Notamacropus eugenii: one gene and its partners. The protein of the gene in region 2 interacts with the protein of the main gene of each other region in a biochemical or structural test. Links are inferred from orthologs where the notes say so. Each region holds a gene or a part of one and is shown on either strand. Other genes may lie near its edges.

The links. The genes of interacting proteins can lie anywhere in the genome.
Region 1: the proteins of SNTA1 (region 2) and ADRB1 interact in a test that uses a peptide from one of them, tested with the Homo sapiens proteins (2 studies listed by BioGRID and IntAct). The link is inferred for Notamacropus eugenii from reciprocal best matches to the Homo sapiens genes SNTA1 and ADRB1.
Region 3: the proteins of SNTA1 (region 2) and proto-oncogene Mas interact in a test that uses a peptide from one of them, tested with the Homo sapiens proteins (2 studies listed by BioGRID and IntAct). The link is inferred for Notamacropus eugenii from reciprocal best matches to the Homo sapiens genes SNTA1 and MAS1.

The regions. Positions count from the first base shown.
Region 1 is NC_092872.1:192,519,142-192,526,178, forward strand, and holds ADRB1 (beta-1 adrenergic receptor), read left to right. Parts: upstream 1-4,030; 5' UTR 4,031-4,126; coding exon 4,127-5,557; intron 5,558-5,797; coding exon 5,798-5,839; 3' UTR 5,840-6,614; downstream 6,615-7,037. UniProt on the Homo sapiens protein: Beta-adrenergic receptors mediate the catecholamine-induced activation of adenylate cyclase through the action of G proteins. This receptor binds epinephrine and norepinephrine with approximately equal affinity.
Region 2 is NC_092872.1:417,512,336-417,519,970, forward strand, and holds the start of SNTA1 (alpha-1-syntrophin), read right to left. Parts: upstream 3,014-7,635; 5' UTR 2,750-3,013; coding exon 2,413-2,749; intron 103-2,412; coding exon 1-102. UniProt on the Homo sapiens protein: Adapter protein that binds to and probably organizes the subcellular localization of a variety of membrane proteins. May link various receptors to the actin cytoskeleton and the extracellular matrix via the dystrophin glycoprotein complex.
Region 3 is NC_092873.1:253,575,214-253,583,095, forward strand, and holds the start of proto-oncogene Mas, read left to right. Parts: upstream 1-4,875; 5' UTR 4,876-5,023; intron 5,024-6,064; exon of another isoform or gene 6,065-6,122; intron 6,123-7,882. UniProt on the Homo sapiens protein: Receptor for angiotensin 1-7. Acts specifically as a functional antagonist of AGTR1 (angiotensin-2 type 1 receptor), although it up-regulates AGTR1 receptor levels.

The DNA of each region.
Region 1 (7,037 bases), about 220 Mb from region 2:
GAAACATGATTTTAAAGCATTTTAAAATATTTATATGAAAATAGTTAATAATAAAAGATATGGAAATGTGGAGAATCACAACATAATAAAATGGATGCATAATATAGCTGAAAAAACAGATTTTGCTTGTATTAGTTAACAATTTCAATCAAACTAGCAAGTATTTTGGTTCATAATAACTAACATTTATATAGTACTTACTATGTGCTGACCAAGGTACTGAGTGCTTTACTAATTTTATCTCTTTTGATCCTCACAACACCCCTGTATATTATTGTCCCTGCTTTACAGATGAGACAAAAGGAAGTTAAGTGACTTGCCCAGACTCACACAGTTAATAAGTGTCAACTATATGCAAGACCTCAAGAGTAAATTCCATTGGGATACAAAACTTTTAAGCAAGATATTATCTGTGTTTCCAAAGGGTTTACAATCTCATTTGGTAAACAACTGAAGACAGCATGAAAGGTATTTAACAATACCATCATTAAATAGCAGTTCAAGACAATTAGAAAAGAAGTTCCAAGGTAACACACAAATGGGAGAGGGACCAGATCCTTGATTTCAGTGACATATGGAATTCTGGGTTAGCACCTTCTCTGCAAATTAAGATTTTCCATGAGGTCAATGACTTGCCTGGAATAGCACAGCCAGTATAGGAAGAACTTAAAACTAGATCCATCCACCTGGCTCCAAAACCAGTTTTCTATCCACTGCACCAAGCTCTCTTTGATAAATGAACTAAACAAAATGAGAACTGTATAAGTTTAGAGAAATCAGAGTTACTTCAGTCTGGGGTAGTAATAGAAAACTATATAGAACAAGCCTGATATGGGCTAGATCTCAAGAAATAGGTAGGATTTTTATGGACCCTAGAAGACAGGGCATTCCATGAGCAAGAGTAGTAGAGGCAAGAGGCCTCACCTTAAGGAGAGGGCTGGGTACATAGTTTGGTTTATGGAGTAAGTGGTAGCTAAACCTGGAAAGTCAGGTTGGGATCATGCTAAAGTTTGGGGAGTCACTGAACATTTTCATGCAGAAGCAATCAATGATTAAAGTAGCATTTTAATAAGATCAGTCATGCTGCAAAGGTGCTCACTGGACAGGAGGGGAGGACTGGGGTCAGAGGGATTACTTAGGAAATTACTTCAGGGGTTAAGACATGACATAGGGGGCTTGACATGGAGTAACAACAGTGGGGATGTTAAGGAAAGCTGGATTCAAACACTGCAAAGGAAGACTCAAGTCTTTCAAAATGTACTATTGGATATTCCCTTTAGAACAATGTGTTTAGATGACAATCCAAATGATTACATGGGTGTGTTCCTCATAGAGATCATTTTAAAAACTACTTCTAGGAAGGGGAAAAAAACTATTTTAAATACGAAGTCATGACTTATGAAATAATTAAGAACAATCTAGGTGGGTATGTTGAACTTTCTCCTCTTGACCTGGTATACTTAAGGGAAAGAAGCCATATCAAAGCAATGCTAACAATCCACCTCAATCTCTCATAAGTAAATGAAGGAGTTAGAGGTAACCTAGTAAGGTTTCATTTTTAAAAGTATGCAAACCATATATTATATTAAAGGACCAAAATGGTTATTAATTGTTCCATTTTTTTTCTTTTTTGGTTTCTTAAAATCACTGCAACTTAGCAAATTCAACTGAGAAGTTCTAATATTTATCATCAGACAGAAACTCTATGTATTTTATTCTAAAGATCTATCAGCAATAATATAAGTAGCTTTTCGGTTTTGAATATTCATGTTGTTAACACATTTCTAAAACAGGGAATCAGAGTACCCTGTTATAAGAATTTCCTAAAACTTGGCAGGGGGAGGGGGTTTGTTACATTTAGAGTCTTATACAAGTCACATACTTCCATATATTTAGAGCATTCCTGCATATGATTATAGTCAATTTATTGACAACTAAGCCTTTAAACGCCCATACAACCAAATATTTTTTTATCTCTCACAGAAATATAATCAATAGTCTACTGTCCTTCTGCGATATTTAAGGCCAGTAGAATCTCTTCCTGTAACACTTGACAGTGATGGTGACTGATCGACAGCCTTCCTGTCCTCTCCCCATCACAGAGCAGCACCATTTCCAATCCTTTCCAGGGCCCTGATCTATTTTGAGACTCTCTCCAGATAAGGAGGAAGATGGGCATGTGCTTAAGCTTGACACAGGTTTGTAGTTACCTTAGGATGGTTACTCCATTGGTAGGAGGCAGGCTGGTAAATCTCAGGGCAGAGTTAAACAAATGCAGAATAAACAAATCACTCCCTGATGGTGTCCTCTTGTAGGTCAGGTTTGGGCCTGAAGCAATTTTTATGGCTGAATTCAAGAAATGCATAAGTTATATGTCTGAGAAGTGACCTTACAATATTTAACAGACATTGTTTATTGCATCTGCACTGCATGCTTGGAGAGCTAAGCACTCCAGTATGGTTGTAAAAACCAATTCCTCTGCTAGTGAAGAATTTGCCTGCCATCCAGGTGCCAGATTTCATTGCAGGAGTGCCGTTTCTTATTCTTATAATGTGGGCATACATGTGAACATACATATATGTTCATTATTCAGTATTTCTATTTATACATGGAATTAAAAGCCTGTATCAAGGCCATATAGCTGCAGATTCATGTTTTTCTTCCTTGCATTTGCAGATTTACTTTTATCTAGTCTTGTGCTGCTTTGGGTGCTGGTGATAATACCAAGATAATACCAACCCTGCCTTCAGAAGGGTTAACAACTGGCTAATTTGAAACATGTTCTTTTGGCAATTCAAAAGTCATCGCTATACTTCTTTAAATGCTTTGGGATTTTAATCCTCTTGAGTATTTACATATTTTCTCTTCTCATCCTTACAAAATTAATCCCAGAGTTTTAAGAATCTGGGAACTTGGGCAAGGGAGAAAACAACTGATCAAACTGAGAAATCAGAAGTCCCTGTTCATTACGTCAACCCAAACTGACAGCACTTTTTTCTGTTTGTTTTGAACCTCTTAGAATAATAAATCATGTGAGTAACAAAACAAAATACAGGTGTTATTACTGAGTGTGAAAGGTTTGAACTGTAATTAAACACGCTCTTTTTTGTAGGAAGTGTCATTTACTTTGTACGCTAACATTTGCGTTTCCTTAAACCTCTCTTTGTATTATCCACACACGGTTGCATCATACTTACACATTCATTAGCTGGGATTTGGATTTGGGTGTGTGTGTTTTTCCAATTAGTCTCCATCGTTAGATGCACAACCTTCGCTTCTTTTATGTAACTACCGCCTGGAGCAGCCCGAGCTTCTTAGAAGCCTAGCGCCCACAAAGCGCTCCTGACAGATGCGTGGTTATCCCCCCTGCGAAACCCGTAGCGCTGCTTGGGAGTTTCTCTCTAGCGGATAACACCCTTCTCTGATCCCCCTGAACCGACGGGTGTGAGGCTGCCCAGGCCCCTCTGACCAGGGGACACCGCCAGGTTTTCGGATCCGAGAATCAGACAAACAGCCCAACTCCTCCAGCCCGACTTTCCAAACCGCCCTTCTCTTTAACACCCTCAGTCTCCTCCCCTCCGAACCCAGCAAGCCCTTTGCAGTGGGACGGAGCACACGTTTCCTTCGCTAAGGATCCAGAGCCCCCGTCCCCCGTTCCCCCAGCGCAGGGCTGAGATCCGTGCTCATGCCGCCCCCCCTCACCAGGCTCCCCGGAGCCACTTAATTGCCCGTGGGAGGGCAGTAAGGCGGAGGAGGGGGGTGGGGGACAAAACGGGGGCGTGCCTTGGCCCCTGATTGGCCGCAGGACACTGACGCGAGGCCTCCGGGGCTGGGTTGGGGGGAGCTAACTGTGGGTTAGGGTGGGGTGCTGGGTGCAGGAGCTGCCAGACCGGAGCGCTCAGAAACATGCTGAAGTGTTGGCAGCGACAGCAGCTACAGCCGCAGCCTGCGAGAGGAGGGAGGCAGCAGCCGGCGCCGAGGTCCGGGGCTCCGCGCTGCTGCACGCAGCTGGCCTGACCTGGCCCCGGCCCCGGCCCCGGCCCTGACCTCTCTCGCCGTCCCCTCCCACCTCTAGGCTCTCCGGGCTCCGTCCCCACCCCGAGACTTCAGCTCCTGCCTCCTCACCATGGGAGATGGTGCGCTCGGCTTAGGCTACGAGCCCTACAACCTGTCGTCTCCTTCGCCGGCCCCCGACGGGGCGGGCGGGGAGGCCGCGGCAGCCACGGCCGCCCGGCTGCTGGTGCCCGCCTCCCCGGCCGCCTCTCTGCTGACCTCGACGACGCCGGCGCCCGCGGCCCTATCCCAGCAGTGGACGGCGGGCATGGGCATGCTCATGGCCCTGATCGTGCTGCTCATTGTGGCGGGCAACGTCCTGGTGATCGTGGCCATCGCCAAGACGCAGCGTCTGCAGACGCTCACCAACCTCTTCATCATCTCCCTGGCCAGCGCCGACCTGGTCATGGGGCTGCTCGTGGTGCCCTTCGGGGCCACCATCGTGGTGTGGGGCCGCTGGGAGTACGGCTCCTTCTTCTGCGAGTTCTGGACGTCGGTGGACGTCCTGTGTGTCACCGCCAGCATCGAGACGCTGTGTGTCATCGCCCTGGACCGCTACATCGCCATCACGTCCCCGTTCCGCTACCAGAGCCTGCTGACCCGGCCGCGGGCGCGGGCGCTCGTGTGCACCGTGTGGGCCATCTCGGCGCTCGTGTCCTTCCTGCCCATCCTCATGCACTGGTGGCGGGCGGACGGCGACGAGGCGCGGCTCTGCTACAACGACCCCAAGTGCTGCGACTTTGTCACCAACCGCGCGTACGCCATCGCCTCCTCCGTGGTCTCCTTCTACGTGCCGCTGTCCATCATGGCCTTCGTCTACCTGCGCGTCTTCCGCGAGGCGCAGAAGCAGGTGAAGAAGATCGACCGCTGCGAGCGGCGCTTCTACGGCGGCCCCCGCCCGCCGCCCTCGCCCTCGCCGCCGCCGGCGCCCCGCCAGCCGGGCCCGTCGCGCGCGCCGCTGGCCAACGGGCGCCCCGGCAAGCGGCGGCCGTCGCGCCTCGTGGCCCTCAAGGAGCAGAAGGCGCTCAAGACGCTGGGCATCATCATGGGCGTGTTCACCCTCTGCTGGCTGCCCTTCTTCCTCGCCAACGTGGTGAAGGTCTTCCACCGGGACTTGGTGCCCAACTGGCTCTTCGTCTTCTTCAACTGGCTGGGCTACGCCAACTCGGCCTTCAACCCCATCATCTACTGCCGCAGCCCGGACTTCCGCAAGGCCTTCAAGCGGCTCCTGTGCTGCCCGCGCCGGGCCGAGCGGCGGCTCCACGCCAGCGCCGGGGAGCTGTCGCGCGGGGGCTCCGGGGCCGCCACGACCGGGGGCTGCGGCAGCTCGGCCGCGGGCTGCGGCAGCCCGTCCCCCGCGGCCGCCGACGCGGAGCAGGGGGAGCTGCTTCCCTCGGCGCCTCACTACCTGGAGCCCTGGGCCGGCTGCAACGGCGGGGCGACCGGGGACAGCGACTCCAGCCTGGAGGACAGGGACGGCAAAGATTCGTATTCGGAATCCAAGGTATAGGACCGGCCGCTGGGCAGGGGCAGGGGGCGGTGGGGCGGAGGAGGGGGCCGGGCTTGTGTTTTCTTTTTACTTTCTGGCGGGGGCTACAGGGCAGGTGGTTTCGCGGTGGGGGGCCGTCGGGGAGGAATGGGGGAGTGGGGCTTCCCCCCCCGCCCCTTCCCCACACCCCCACCCAGGAAACTGGTTTGGAAGTTCAAGAGGAAGAGAGCCAACAGCCCTGAACTGTCTTCACAGGGAAGGGAGGATCTGTGTTTACTCAAGACCGAAAGCAGGTGATAGCGTATCCTTCATACCTCTTCTGAATCATCCGCGACAAACAAAAGCAACTGGACCGTTGAAAAGAAGGAAAGTTGGGGACGGGGGGAGTTGGGATTTTTGGACTTTTCTTCCTGACTTCTGGGGGGAAGATGCCTGTTTTACCTTTTCCACTCTAATTCTGATCCTTCAGGCAAGGATTGAGAAAGTGTTAACTGGTTAGATAAGTGGGATGGAGAAAAGAAGATGGGATTCAGAAAAAAAAAAAGAAAAAGAAAAACCATCCACTTGGTTTCTCCAAGAGCTGCACTTAATAATCCTGCTTTGGAAGACTATCACCTGTTCCCATCCAATTCCCGGGAACTGGACCAGTCAAAGTAAGAGAAAAGGAATCTGGAAAGTTTGATGGGACAGGGTTTTTCTCGGTTCCACGAAAGATTTTTGTCATTATTGTTTCAAAGTCTGAATGGTGACATCTTTAAAGAAAGCAAAGTGGAAAGGTTGCAAAAATCACGTTCACCTTTTACGAGTTTTATTTAGAACAAACAACCTGGCTTTCCTGTTTCGTCTTGGCAATGGTGATGAGGCAGAGGGATTCCTACCTCAAACTGTGCATATTGCACAGGGATTTTTTTTTAAAGATATGTTTATATTAAACAGATTATTTATGTATCAATATTAGTTAAAGGACCAGGCGCCAGCCTCTGTGACACGTGACTCTCACAATTTGGAGAGAGGAAACAGTCTTAGGGTCGAGAAAAATTACTGCACATTTGGAAAAAGAAAATAAAAAGAATGGTTCAAAATGCTTTTTTGCACAGTGTTAGAAATTGTAAAGTCCACTGAAGATATTACTTGCACACACATACACACACACAAAAAAAAAACCATTTAATGAGGGGAGGAGAGGGAGTTGAAAATAATCTGAAATCCAAACTCTACTTTTTTGTCTGTTATATTACTGAGTTGATGTTTTATTGAAAAAAATGACTTTTTATACTATTTTATCATGGTACTGTAACTGTATCCATACTAAAAATTTAAATATAAGGATTTTTTTTATTATTTTTGTACGTCCAAGTGCTCACGTGAATCTGCTGTTAATTTAGCACTTGTGTGTCCTTTCAATTTCCTCCTGTGTATTTTATAAAGTATTTATACTCTGGTGCAACTAACTACTGTGTAAGTAAATGGTCTATGTGCAATAAATACAAATGCA
Region 2 (7,635 bases):
CTGACAGGATGGCATCGCCCACAAACAGAGCCTCTGTCTGGTCAGCTGCCAGCCCTTTGAAGATCTTGGAGATGAGAATGGGCATCTTGTTCTCTCGGCCACCTGAGGATGCACACACAGACAGGTATATATGTAGGCACACGCAGGAGATAAGGAAACAGGCATCAATGCCAGGGAATTGGGGTGACAGGTATTAAATAAGTACCTACTAGCATTATGAAAAGTATAGGAAAAGGCAGGAGGACCCTAAAAATGGAACCAGAGACCATTAGAACTGGAAGAGACTTCAGAGGTCATTCGTCCAAGCCTCTCCTTTTACACAGGGGAAGCTGAGGCTGGAGAGGGGGAGTGACCCACCCAAGGTCACACAGTAAGTCAGTGGTAGAACTGGAACTAGAACCCAGGTCTCCTGACTCCCAGGTCCAAGACTCATTCTGTTTTAACAGTTCTCTCCCCATTTTATGGAGGGACAGGTTGTGGCCTAGGAAGAGGAGGGGATTTAGCACAACCCCAGAGAGTACATTAGACTCAAAAAACTTATTTAGCAGAAAGGCTGTGTATGTGTGGTTAGGGGGGGAGAGGAAGTGGCCTTAGCTAAGAGGTTTTATGGCCTTTGGACCCTACCTCCAAGAAGAATACCAGACCTGAAGGGATAGCTCCAAGTTCATGAGCTGTTCTCCAAAGCAAAAAGTTAGTAGAACTCTAAACACAGCATTAGCTGAGACTGTCATGAACCCTCAATAGCCAAACTTCCAAACCAGGTTCAGGAGAAATGACTTCCCTTGAGGTGACAAGAACTCATCCTCAAATCCAAGAGAGAACTATAGATAGTGTGTCTTTCCCACTTGGAAAGGGCAGGGCTCTGTTCTCAATGGAGACCTAGCTGTCCACCTTTGCCAACTCCATGGAAAAGGAGGAGGGAGGCACAAGCAATGAGCAAAGGCAGAGGAGGATTATGGGGTACTCATAAAGAGCTGTGGGCTGAGGACTGGAAGACCTTGGTACGAGTCTCTTCGACTGCTGTTAATTTCCTGTGTGACCTAAGATAATTCATCTCCCCTCTTTTCACTCTCTACAAAATGATAAAGGGGTCAGTGGACGGTACTTGCTGCATGCTGTCTGATGGGAAATTCTATCCTAAGACTACGATAGCATTCAATCCTGCCATTCACATATCAGTCTGGAAGAGGTGATTCTTCCCCTTCCCCCCCAATATTCTAACTCTACCTCTAATGGCTCTTCCTGCTGATGTCTGGGGATATTTTGTCTGTTCTCTGCTACAAAAACCATCTGTGACCAGAAATGTCCTAATATGGCTCTGGGACCCAGGACAAAGGGACCTTCAGCCCTCTGAGAATTGTTACCCTATCCAGACCCATAAGCATCCACATAGCTCTTAGGGGAGAGAGAAATTAGGAGAGAGAAGTCAGGGAAAAGAGAGACTAGAGAAAAGAGAAATAAATAAGAGAAAGACATGAAAGGGGGAAAAATAAGGGAAGGGGAAGATTAGCGGAGATGAAGAAACCAGGACTGAAGTGGGAGGGATCATGGACTAAGATTCCCCCACCTTTATAATGGCCTGGAAGCCAGACCTTAATTTTATGGAAAGCTGAAGGACAAGGCAGATGGAGACGGCAGCAGTTCTGGTCTTCGAGCTGGGAGCCCTGGGTTCCAATTCTGCCTCTGATACTTCCTAGTCCTTAGCTTCTCTGGGGTTTCTTTACATGTAAAATGGTGGAGAACCTACTTTGTAAGCTTTAAAACCTACCAGGAGCAGAGCATCACTGTGAGGACAAAGGTGGGAGGGTCGAGGAGTGCTATGTAACAGGCTCGGGGAACTGGCACAGCAGAGGGCAGAGGGAGTCCTGCCTCACTTCCAGCCAGGGCCAACAGGCTGGACTGGAGAGTTTAGACCACAGTGGACAGGCACTACCCTGTGAGGGTTCCGTGGAGCTCCCGGAGACTCGGACTAGGAAGCAATGAGGCTACCATTGGAGCCAGGCTCCCAGCCAGTCCCCAGACTGGGCTGCTCTCCTCGCGGAGGCCCTGCCCACCAGCTCAGCCTGCCAGGCCCCGCTGTCCCGTGAAGTTTGCAGAGCGAGAAACTGGGTAAGAACTTGCGTTTGTCTCCATGTGGCCAGGTCGTGATCTTCAAGGGTCTGATCGGCTCCCACCGCGGTCACCCTCCCGCAAACGCTGGGACCCCGAAAGCCAGACAGGCAGTCAATCCGACAGACAGGGCAGTGCCCGGCACGGCGCCAGGACGCAGAGCGCCCCTCACCCCTCCTGTCTCTGTCGCTCTGCCATGCTGGGCTTCTTCACCTTCAGCCCGGCTCGGCTGCCCTCCCCACGTCCCGCTGCCGCCCCTGTGCTCCCGCCGTGTCCCCCAGCCCGTGCCCCTGGGGCCGCTACCTTTGATGCTGATGCCCAGTCCGCCCGCCTCCTGCTTCACCACACGCACGGTTCGCTTCTGGTTGAGCAGCGCGTGGGGCAGTGGAGGCGTTGGGGGCGCTCTGGGGGCTGCGGGCGCCCCGGAGTCCGAGCCGTTGAGCTGGGGCAAGGACGCGGACGCAGGCTCCGAGCCGGAGCCCGGCCCCGGCTCAGGCTCTCCGCTAGCCGGCGCGGCGCTCACCGTCACCACATCGGCTGCCAGGCTGACCAAGACCCGTAGCCAGGGCCCGGGCCCCGCGCTGCCCGGAGCCCGCAGCTCCAGTAGCCCGCTCTTCGGGGAGCGCCTACCCGCCGCCATCTTCAGAGCCAGGGAGCTGGAGAGCCCGGGAGCTAGAGAGCCAGCGGCCGGCGAGCGCTCCGGCCCCCTCCCCGCCCCTCCCCGCCCCTTTTCTACCCTTCCTCCCCGCCCCGCCGGCGGCCCGGGGGCACCGCGGGGGAGCCCAAGAGCGGGGGCACCGGGCACCGGGCCCAACTGCCACCCCGCCTCCCGCCCCTCGGCCGGGAGAGGAAGGGATACCGGTCACCCTTTTCTCGCCCTTCCGCGGGATCTCCGTTCCAAATTCCAGGACTGGACGGGGCGGGTTCTCCTGGCGTTCCTCTGCACGAGCTAAGTGTAGGTGCTGGAGGAAGCGCTTGGATGCCCCAAGGAAAGATGGAAAAGGAGACTGACCTCCACTCTCAGAGAAAGGTGGGCAAAACGAAGACCACCCCCTTCGGAAGACCCTTTTCCCAGCGTGCTCCCTAATTTTACAAATCAACAGACAAGACCAGAGAGGGAGATGATCTTGGCCAAGGTCACAGAGTTAACGGCTGAACAGGCTGATGGATGGAAGGCCAGGCTTGACCATGGCCCTGGCTATTCCATGCTCGAGTTTGGCTGCCTCCCTATGGCCTCTAGGAGAAAATAGAAATTCCTCTCTTTGGCCTCTAAAGCCCTTCACAACCTGACTCCAACCTATCTTTCATGGGTTATTCTTCACTCCCTCCCACTCTCCCACCCAGAAAATAGAGCATTTTCAGCCAAACTGGCCTACTTGCTATTACCTAACTAGAGGATATATCAACATTCCATCTGGCCTCTCTGTGTCTTTTCCCAGACTTTACTCCATGCCCAGATTCTCTGTCCTCCCTTTCTTGGTTCCAAATTCACTGCTCTTTCCACCTTGACCTTCATCAGTCATGTGCTGGTCCCGCTAGAGGGAGGTTGGTGGCCTAGATGTTTGACTGTGATTTCAAGAGGGGGCTCAGTCTACCCTAAAGTTAGATCCAGCAAGTAAAGAGTTAACCCAAGAGTTGGCTGATCTGACCAGCCCCTCACTCCTTTAGACCTATCAAACTCACAGAAATAGGATCCATTAATCCTTACATAAGGAACCCCCCCCCCCCAGGGATTTATTGACTTAGTTTTAAAATGCAATATATCTTTATTTTATTTCATTTTAATATTTCTGTTACATTTTACCCAGTTACACTTTAATCTGCTTCCAGCCATTCAAGAGTGTATTGTCTGTCTCCAACATGTGTTTAACTCCTCTGCCCTGGACCATGGGGCTTCAAAGAAAGATAGATTCATAGACTTTGAGTTGGAAGGTACCTTAGAGAGGTCATCTAATCCACCCCCTTCATTTTACCAATAAGGAAACTGAAACACACGGGTTAAGTGACTCACCTAAGATCATGAAGGCAGCATTCGGAGTGGATGTGTCAGGCTGTGACAAAATCACTGAGCAGATGGAGGTGATCTGATTAAGTCACTGGTCAGAGCTTTATGTGGCATCAACAGCCTTGACAATCCTTATTGGGAGAAGGGTGGCTGGTCCTCTGTCTTAAGTGGAGAGCCTCCCTGGCACCTTCTGTTTTTACTATTTCCCACCTAGGCCTTTGGGTTTTTTAGCCTTTCTCCCTGCCGTCAGGGGCAATAACTTTCCCAGCCAAAGGCTAAACTAACTCCTGCTAAAAAGATTTCGACACAGGACCACCATCCTCTCCACCAAGAGCTTCTGCCCTTATTCTCTTCTCTTTTCTATCCTGGTGTCCTGGGCTGAAGTAGATAGCCTCAGGAAATTTAGGATCATAGATATCCAGCTGTCTTTCAGACATCTCAAACTGGATGTTCAGTAGACATCTTATAGTCAATATGTCCAACAAAACAAAGCTCCTTATTTTTCGCTCTAAACCTTCTCCCCCTCTTACCTTCCATATGACTGTAAAGGGCAACACCATCCTCCCAGGCCCTCAGGCTCACAGCCTGGGAGTCATCCTGGATTCCTCACTGTCTTGCCCTTCCTCCCCCCTCCCATATCCAAGCTGTGGCCAAGACCTGTTGATTTTACCTTTGCAACATCTAATAAGCCCCCTTCTCTCCACTGCCATCACCCTAGCACAGGCCCTCATTACTTCCTGTCTAGACTATTGCTGTAGCCTGTTGGTTAGTCTGCGGTCCTCAAGTCTCTTCCCCCTCCAATCCATCTTCCACTTAACCATTAAAGTGATTTTCCTAAAGTGAAGGTCTGATCATGTTATCCCCCTACTCAGTAAACTCCATTGGCTCCCTGTTGCCTCCAGGATCAAATGAAAAATGCTGTGTTTGACATTCAAAGTCCTTTATAACCCATAGTTCCCTCCTAATTTTCTAGCCTTCTCATACCTTGAATCCTGCCATGTACTCTTTGGTCCAGTGATACTGGCCTCCTGGCTGTACCACAAACAAAACTTTAGGTCTCTGGTTGTCCCCCCTACTTGGAATGCTCTAACTGCTCCACTCTGACTACTGACCTCCCTAACTTTTAAGTTTTAACTAAAATCTACAGAAAGTCTTCCCCAACCTCTCTTAATTCTAGTGTTTTTACATAGTAGACACTTAATAACTGTTTATTGAATGAATAAATGAAAAAGAATGTAAAGCTAGAAGAGCCCTCAGAGATATCATTTAGTCTAACTTCCTTCTTTTACATATAAGGAAACTGAGGCTCAAGGAAATTGTGACTTGCCCCAAATCTATCAGTCAACAAGCATTTTTGGAGTCCTCACTATGTGCCAAGTGCTGTGCTAAGGGGATATACATGTCCTTTTTGGAATATACATAAGAAATAATGTACATCCCCAGATCCATCCATGAATGGATGATAGATGGATCCATGCAGCCTCTCCTGGGACCATCACCTCCTCTTTCTCCCCACCAGTAATCTTGTGGATTCCAGATTCTCCCCCAAGTCCTTGTGTTTTTGCCTTTATCTTGCAGGTGAATAGGGCCTCCCCTCCATTTCCTAGGCTGCCCATGTCATGGTCCCAAGAATGTGATCTCTCTTTATGTGTGATCTTCGGCTATTAGAATATAAGATCCTTATGGGCAAGTGGCAAGCAGAGGGGAACAAAGCCTGACCCACAATATGGCTTAATGAATGCTTTATCTATCTAACAGAATATCTCAGCAGGCAGATAGTCAAGAGCAGAGTTAGGATTTGAACTGGGATCTTCTGAAGCCAAGTCCATTTTTCTCCACTGCTTAGGCAACATGGTACACCAAAAAGCACATTGATCCTAGAGACAGAGGACCTGGGTTGAAACCCACAACCAAAGAAACTACCCAAGAGACTTTGGGGAAGTAATTTGACTTCTCTAGACCTCAATTGCCTCATCTGTAAAATGAGGTTGGATGAGGTGAACTGTGGGTTGTGGATCTATGATCCCCAAAGTCCTGTCTAGCTCTCTCAGGCTTTTTTTTAATCCTAGCCTTTCTGTCCTTATGTACAGCTGTAATCACATTGTTTCTCTGTTCAAAACCATGGAGTGTGTACCCCATTGCTCACTGAATACAGCCCAAGACCCTTATCGTTGCACTCAATCAGCCACCTCTGTACTTGTCAGCCTCATTTCCCATTGGCCTCCATTCATTCTATACTACATGATTCACCCTGCTTTGTAGTGTCTCATCCTTTCCTGTCTCTTTGTCTTTGCTCATCCTCCTCCCTCTCCACCTGTTGAATTCCTACCCTTCTCCCTGAAGCATCCCTTGATGCCCCTGGTTAAAAGTCATTTCTTCCTCACCCAGTCTCATAGCATTTAATACTTTTATACACTTGGGATCATAGAGTTTATTGCCTTCTAATCTGTTTTATAATTATTCCTGGCTATGTCTAAATTCTCCTGGGTGAGTTCCCTGACCCTGGAAGGGTCTTTAGCATTCATTTTAAAAAGCTGGCTCGGTTTCAGATGGAATTCAGATGCTACTGTGACAGGTGGACATTGATCTCTGAGGCAGCTCAGGCAAGGTCTGTCCAAGCCCAAATGGAGAAACACTTGAGCAACTGGACTGATATGGAGAGAACGTGGAGATAGCTAGAAAACACCCTCCCTCCTTGTCGCAACTCACACGTATGTTGAAAGGGGGACCTTCTGGAGACCATGTCAATACTTTTTTGGGAGGACTCTAGGGTAGGGCTTTCAGGCCACATAAAAGGGGTCCAACACTTTTTGCAAGCCTGTGGGGGGATACCAGCCTCTCCCATTCTAGCAGATAGACCCCAAATTCAGAGACTGGTCTGGTGACATGGTTCTGAGAGACGGTACCTCAGCACTTCGACCACTGTAAGTCAACAAAACCTGATTTGAGTCAAGGAAAAGGGTTGGCGTGCTCATGGTGCCAGCTGTCATGGCCACCTGTGCTGGGTCCCTTGGTTACATCTTGTTGCACTGGGGAGAACTGAAATGAGAATGTAGGGACTAGGGCTCAAGGCCCCTCTCACTTGTTGACAGGGGATCTAGGTGCTTCTGACCTTCAGCAGTGCCCAAATGGAAATGGAAATGATTGTTACAGAAGGGCTTGGGGGTGGGGATGAGTCAGGGGAATGAGGCCTGAAAGGGGCGGGTCCAGGACCAGGGCTCACACTCCCCTCCCCTTTTGCTCTCTGGCCAAAGTCACTGCCTCCCCGGCAGCCAATCCAACCATTTTCCCAGGCCCCAAACTCAAGATCTAGGTCCTTGAAAGTCTCCCCACGTTTGCACAAGGAAAGGATTTAATGAGAGTCTAGGCATCAAGTACAGCCTTTGAACCCCTTTGCTCCCTAAGGACTCATTGTCTTTCTATTAGCAGAGTGGAGAAGAAAAGTGAGCAAACCTCCTGGAAAATAGACAGTAGTCTGAAAGGGGCCATGTCAGAGACAGAGAGAAAAGTTGTCAGAGTGA
Region 3 (7,882 bases), on a different chromosome or scaffold from region 2:
AAAATTTAGTAGTATTTTATTTTTCCCAGTTACATGTAAAAACAATTTTTAAAATTCATTTTTAAAACTTTGAGCTCCAAATTCTCTCCCTTTCCCCACCTCCCACTGAAAAGGCAAATAATTCGATACAGGTTATACACAACTAGTCATGTAAAACACTTCCATAATAGTCAAGTTGTGAAAGAAAACAAAAAAAAAATCAAGAAAAATAAAGTTTTTAAAAAGTATGCTTCAATCTGCATTCAGACACCATTAATTCTTTGTCTGGGGATGGATGGCATTTTTTATAAGTCCATCGGAGTTATTTTTTTAATTTCTAAAGGGACACAACTACATAAATCACTCTTTTCCTGTCTTCAGAATCTTGACCCTATAAAAGCAGTTCCACTTGAGCTGTCTTTTTGCCATTGAATACTGTGCCTCTTTTATCCAATTGTCACTCATCCCTTTTCAAACCCCATACTTGGATTATTCCCACCATCACCTTATCTGCTTTTATTCCCATGCTGCTAAATGGTACAGAAGGAAATCATTCCTGTGCTAACCCGGTCCACTATATCTCCAGTGGTGGTGTCTCCACCTGTGGTGATGGCAAGATATAATCATCTTTGTAGCTGAGAAAGAATGGAGGAATATTATGAAAATTGAGTAGATTGAGGACCTGGGAAGTCTGGGTTTTGACTGAGTATTGATATACTGATACTCCTTCAAAATTCAGACTTCCTAGTTCTTCAGTGTGAGTGTGAGTATTTTCTTTTTGACTTCCCCCCATTGAAAAAAGAAAAGCCAAATCCTTGTAACAAATGTGCATGGTTAATCAAAACAAATTTCTACATTGATCATGTCCAAAAAGACCTTGTTCTGCATCCTGAGTCTATCACCTCTCTTTCAGGAGGTAGGTAGCATTAACATGCTTTATCATTGGTCCCCTGTAATTATAGTTGATCATTACATTGATTAGAATTCTAAAGTCTTTCAACATTGTTTTTATAGTGCTGTTATAGTATAAATTGTTCCACTGGCTCTGCTCACTTCATTCTGCATCAGTTTATACAAGTCTTCCCAGGTTTCTCTGAAACTGCCCCTTTTGTCATTTCATAGGGGATAAACAGTGTTTCATTGCATTTGTTCGGTCATTCCCTAGCTAATGGGCACCTCCTTAGTTTCTTTGATGACACAAATTGCTGCTATATTTTTGTGCAAATGGGTCCTTTTCCTCTTTCTTTGATCTCTTTGGGGTGAGGTTTTTTTTTTAAATAAAGATATAACTTATAATTCATGCCACTTACCTTCCCTAGGAAAAAAAAAATTATTTTCGCATGCAGTTTTTACAAAATTCTAGTAACAACAGAAAATAATCACTATGGGGCAATTTGTATGGTAGAAGTTAGAATTTGGGACCTTTTTAACTGGCAAGAGGAAAAGCTGCTCTTTCTAACCTTAAGAATCTATAGTACTCTTCTTAGAAATAAATCTACCAATCTTCCCCTTTACGTTCTTCCCACTCTAATGTATTTTTGTATAATGGAAAACAAGATATGGAAAATACTTTATTTCTGTTCTGGGGGGGTAAGAGATTGTTAGCTACTGGAGGGCAAGGACTATTTTTTACCGTTCTTTGTATCCACAGTGCTTAGCACAATTTGTGGCAGATAGATGCTTAATAAATGTTGACTGACTGAACAGATGGTTCTACCTGCTTATTATTATGAATTAATTTATTTTAATGACTCAGTTTCCTCTAGATTCTTTTGGGGAAACTATTCTACGATCTAGTAGATTTTATCGTTGGGGAAAGATATCCTAAAATAATGTTAAGTTGTACTCATGACCCATTTGGGATTTTTTGGGAGTTGTTTGTCATTTCCCTCTCCAGGTTATTTTACAGAAGAAGAAACTGAGACAAAGAGGGTTAAATGATTTGCCTAGGGTCACATAACTAGTGTCTAAGGCTAAATTTGGACTCAGGAAGATGAGTCTTCTTGATTTTAGGTCTAGTAGTCTATCTACTGCACCACTTAGCTGCCCCAAATCCTAAAATATCCAGGGCTTTTAGTCCTCAAAGCTTGTAGATGGTACTAGGGATGACCCTTTTCTACTTCTTCCCTTCTTTTCTTTCCCTTTCTACCCACCCTTGTTTGACTTAATTTTATTTGTATTTCCTAGAGAGGGTTCTTTTTTTTTGTTTGTTTTTGTCTTTTGCTTTCTTGTTAACCAGTAGATAGGAGCAGGAAGGATGAGGACTAGTGAGGTAAGGTCCTAAGTCTGCATAGTGCATTTTTGAATTCCCTTTGTAGGGGAATGTTATCATTTGTCTAAACATGATGTAAACAAGAAAATGTAGAGAACAATAGTTACTAAGAGCTATTTTAGGTAAAGAGAATAAGAGTTATACTTGTGATGTATGTGATACCTTTTGCCACCCTTCATTCCAGTTACTTACGTTGCATGCTATTTGTCTCTGCAAAGATTTATACATCTCAGGTTACATACAGGTTACCATGTGCAAAGCCAAAGTAGGGGGTACATATTTCTAATGTGTGAAGTCCTGGATTAGACCGAGTTTCCAGGGTGAGGAGATTTCTGGGGTATCATAGAGAAAGACCCAGGAGAGTCAGAAGTGCAGCCTGGAAAGGAATGAAGATGTCGAAGTAAGGGACTTGTCCAGTCATTTTCAGTTGTGTCTGACTCTTTGTGACCCCAGTTGGCTTTTTTTTGAGGGGGGGGGGAAGATACCAGAGTGGTTTGCCATTTCCTTCTCTAGCTCATTTGACAGATGAGGAAACTGAGGCAAACAAGGTTAAGTGACTTGCCCAGGGTCACACAGCCAGTAAGTATCAAAGGCCAGATTTAAACTCAGGTCTTCCTGACAACAGACGCAGTACTTGTTATCCACTGCACCACCTAGCTACCCAGGGCCTAGGGATAACTGAAAGGAAAAGAAGGAATGAACATTTACTAAGTACCTACTACACTCTGGGCACTGTGCTAAGTGCTTCATAAATATCCCTTTTAATCCTGATAATAACCTTAGTGCTATTATTAACCTCATTTTACAGCTGAGGAAACCGAGGCAGCCAAGTTAAGTGCTTTGCCCAGAGTCACTCAGCTAATAAGTGTGTCTAAAGTCCAATGTGAACTTGGGTCTTGCTGACTTTAAGTCCAGATCTCTAGAGTGTCTAGCTGCTTCCAGTTGAATAGACTGCATGCTGTTTCAGAGGAAGGTCCCTAGTGGATTGGAGAGTCCTAGGATCAGAACTGGAAGAACTTTAGAGGTCACAGATGAAGGAAGTCAGGACCAGAGAGGTTAAGTAATTTGCTCCAGTCACCTTTCCAGGAGGGTTGTAATGAAATGGCAACTAAGTGGTAATGTACAAGGCAGGTTGGGGAAATCTCTCTTGCAGACTTAGCTCCCCCCGCCACCCCCAGCTCCAGAGCAGGCTTCCCTGTACCGGTGTCTCTGCCTGTAGTCTGGGAAAGTGGAAATGTGAAAAGTTAGCATTCTCAAGGCGGCACAATCCAAAATAAAATGTTTGCTCTAAATTTAGCTGGGCTCCTTCTGCTCACGAGTCAATGTGTACTTTAACCCTGGACAACCCAAGTTGCACAAGTAAGTTTAGAGAAACAACTTCCTTAATTATTCCTGTGTCCAGTCATTCTGTTTGCTTTGTGGTAAGGAGTCTCCTTATTCTCTGCCTGAGAATCACATAATCATGAGGTCTTGAGAGCTGAAGGGAACGTTAACAATTGTGTAGTGTGACCTGTTCATTCCATACCTGAGCCTTTCCCTCTTCCCTTTCTCTCTCTCCCTTCTTTCTCTTCCCCTTTGTCCGTCCCTTCCTTCCTTCAGTCTTCCAGTGAGAATCCTGTTGCTCTAGAAAGAACAATGCTTGGTGCTGAAGCCAGGAAAGCTCCCGTTTGAGTTTACGTTTATTTTACATGCCCTGTGAATGGGTAACTCCCCAAAGGAGTACATTATGAGTGGGATAGGTTTAGTGAAGACTTCTCAGATTGTAATTCTTCTCCCAGGGGTGAGGTAAGGCCTGAAGGCTCAAGGTTACAATATTTTTAGAATAGAATAGTTCCATATAAGGATGTAAAACTGTAGTGTATTAGGGTTTCAATGATTGGACAAAACTTACATAATTTCTCCATGTCTTTATTTCCAAAGGGATTGGTTAGATTTCGTGTCTAGAATGTGAGATCATATTCTCAGCTAATGAGGATAATGGTCAGTGGGGGAGGAGGGACTTGCGTAACGAAGGGTCTATATAAATCTTTTCTTTGTCTTCGGCTTTTCTACTCCTACAGGTAAGCCCGGCTTCTCCAGAATTGAATAAATCACTTTTCTGTCATCACTTTGAGAGGCCTCTGAGTAACTGATTTATGTAGGGACCTGAGCCATCCCACACAATTAGCTCAGACAAATGGAAGGCTACTTACTGCCTGTTCCCCATTCAAATCACCCCCCCCCCCCTTCTTATTCTCCATTGTCTGAATGCTAGGTCCCAGCCATTGCTTGTTCTCCTGGGTATGTTCCCCCTCCCTGGTCGTACATCAATGTGCATTTACATTTACCTGCCCCGCCCTGGGGGTGTGTTGGAGAATATTAAACAGCTCGTTAAGCAGGCTCCCATCAGAACCAGTGCCTCTGGCTACATCCTGTTATCCCGTCTGCAAAGCTGGGAGGGAGTGGTGCTAACCCTGTGGAAACAGGGCCCCTTCCTTTGTTTCTCATATTCCCCCTTCTGCCTCGTTCTCTCCTCTTCCCCTTCAGTCCTTCCTCCGCACCCGCTTCCTCCTCTTGCTGCTTTCCCCTCCCCCCTCCCCATCGCCCCACGTGCCCCTCGCGTGGCCTCGGGCGGGGGCGGGGGCGCTTCCCCTTTAAGAAGCCGAGGGTCTGGGCCTGGCTCCGCTGAGCGGGCCTCAGTGCGCACGTGGTTGGCCATGGAGGTGGGCGCCGACGCCTTTGAGCAGAAGCTGCCCCTGCTGGAGGAGCTCATTCTGGGCTCCGACTTTCTGGGTACAGAAGCCCCCACGCCCCTCCCCTGGTCCGCGCGGCCCGGCAGGGACGTCCCGAGGGAGCGAGGGCCCGGGCGCCTGTGGCGTCGCGGCTGCGGGCCTGGGCTGAGCGCTGGGCGGGAGAGGCCCCCCCGGGCCTGGGCAGCTGCCCCGCGTCCTCCTGTGTCACTGGGGGGGCGGGACCCGGCTCCACGGCCCACGGCCGCGAGTGTCCGGCCCTTGCGTTTTACAGGCGAGGGAACGGAGCGGGCAGAGCAGGGAGGCCATGCCGTCCCATCCCACCCCATCCCATCCCTCCGGGTCCCCCGCCAGTTAGTGGTAGAGGCGCATCGGAACCGCTTCTGCTCCGTGGTCTTCTGACTCCCGCCCCGCTGCCCTGGCTTTGGGTTAGGGCTTCCCTGCGGGCTGGAAGGTGTCTGCCCTTAACCGGGAGCCGAATTGCCCCCTCGGAGGTCCAGCTCCCAGTGAGTCCTGAGCCTCAGCCAGGGAGGCTCGGAGGGCTGGGGCCAGTTGGGCTGTTTGCCAGTCTTCCTGTTTCTCCTCTCCTGGCCTTCGGAGAGCCCAAGCTTTGCAGGCTCCTGAAGGCAGCCCCGGACCCCGTCCTCTGCTTAATTCTGAGCCCCGCATGCCCATTGGTCCTGTTGTCCCCAGGTCTGCTTACTGGTGGACAAGCTTCCTTGGTCACCCCTTCGGTTAGGTCAGAATCTGGCCAAGAATCTGTGGGAGAACGTAGACAAGAATGAGAGGAGATGAGGAAACATACAAATCGATGACGTCACATCCATTTTTGCTCCCCAATATCGTTCTGCATTCATCTTTTTAGAAAACTTATCTTTACTTTTAGTTGCAAATTCTCTCCTTCCCTCCACCATCCATTTGTAAAGGCAAGAAATACGATATCCGTTCTACATGTGAAGCCATTCGTTTTGCATTAGGCTTACAGCATCCTGCCTGCTGAGTGCTCACTAAATACTGCCTGGTGACTAATGTGGTCCTCTGTTCACAAATGGACTTCCTTTCCTTTTATGAATTTCACCTGTAGGTTTGGACATAGAATTTACAGGCTTGAGGTCCATCTTTCCAAAAGGCCAGCAAACAAGGTAAAGTTGGAAAATCCTTTACTCTCAGTGTACAGAAGAATCCTGGTGGGCTGCTTCAGACAAACTGAGACCTGGGAAAGCCCTTGGCTTACAAAGGCCAAGGTCTCCCACAGCATCCTGGGCTATGGCCAGTTGTTTTGAGTTAGCACTCTGGAGGAGAGAGTGAGGCTAATGACTTTGCAGGTGTTTGCCTCCCTGAAATCTAATTCACTTGCAAGTCAAGACATTACTGCCCTCATGCTATTGGTCCTCTTCCAGAATGAAGGACAGACAACAACTATAGATGAGGAGTAGGAGAGCCCCAAAAGTTATGACTTTGCCAAGGTCACACAGCTAGTTAATGGGAAAGGCATTACATTAAAACTGTAATTTAACTTTCATACTAATAATTACTAGCCTGCATCCATCCATCCATCCATCCATCCATCCAGATAGACCTGGACCTGGGAGTGAGAAGCAGCCCAGCATGGTGAGTAGAGATTGAAGACCTGAATTCAAGTCCTCCTTCTGACACATACTGGCTGTATGTCCCTGGGTAAGTCAGGCAGTTCTCTGAGATTAAAAATTGTGGAGAAGATGGTGATTTGCATCTGTTGGAAGAATCCTTTTTTTTTCTTGCAAGAGAGGGTGAAGTAGCAACTTAAACATTCAATGTGCCATGAGTACTGTGCTTAGAACCAAAAGAAAAATGATTGAGAATAACTGAGTTAGTAAAGCCAATCTAGGTGCTGTGGGAGCATTCATCCTCAATTGCATTGTTCTGTATTCACCTAATTTAAACTGGAAATTATCTTGATTTAAGAGTTTAGTCATTACAGCTCTTGAATGCAAGTTCTAATATCCTTCCTTCATTCAAGAAAACATGCACCACAGGTAACTTTTTCTGCTCCTGATGGTTAGTCCTCACCAACTCTTCGGCTAGGAAATTCTCTTTACTCCAATAGTGCATTTCCAAACTCCAATTTATAATCACCATTAGAAAGGTGTTTAGAAAATGTTAACCTATTAATATGAATAGCAATTCTCTTGAAGAGAACTGCAAAGCTCATCAGAGTGGTTATCTCAGGGATTCTCTCACCCAGGTGCTTCATTGTGTAATCAATCTCATAGCAATACAGTTTATCTCTTTTAAGCCAGGAAAACTGACTTGACTGGCTCACTCAGCTACCAAAAGCAACTATAAAGCCTTCTCTGCTTTTCTTTCTGAAGCCAGAGATGGCAGTAGAGAGCAGTAGACCCTTAGGAGACGCCTCACCTCTTTCCAACGATAGGTGGCACTGAAGGGCAACAGATGTCAGGAAACCCTTAGCCAATTAAGTCGAGTCTCTCCTGCCAACCGGGGATCACATAGCTGAAACCTGTCCCCTGACCGATTCTTAACTGCCATCGCTCGGAGAGCACGGGGTTTGGCCCCCTGCTGTGTGTCGTCACAGATTCCTTTTTCCAGCGCCCCGTGTCCATTTCTGCCTACTTTAATAGCTTAAAAGATAGCCTCCTACCTTTCAGTGACCCACATTTCCCTCATGAAGGAGTAACCCCCAATTTCCCCTATCACATCAACAATCCTTTAAAAATCTTACATCAGCAGCCAGCTGCTGATACAATTTCTTGTTATTTTCACCTTCTTTAGTCATAAAACATCTACAGATGGGATGAAAGACCATAATGCTCTGAAAGCTCTAAAAACTTTATTCACTCATTCTTTGCTGTTGTAGAAACTGTGTCTTTACACTCCCCTTTCTCCAGGTTTTAATCAGTAT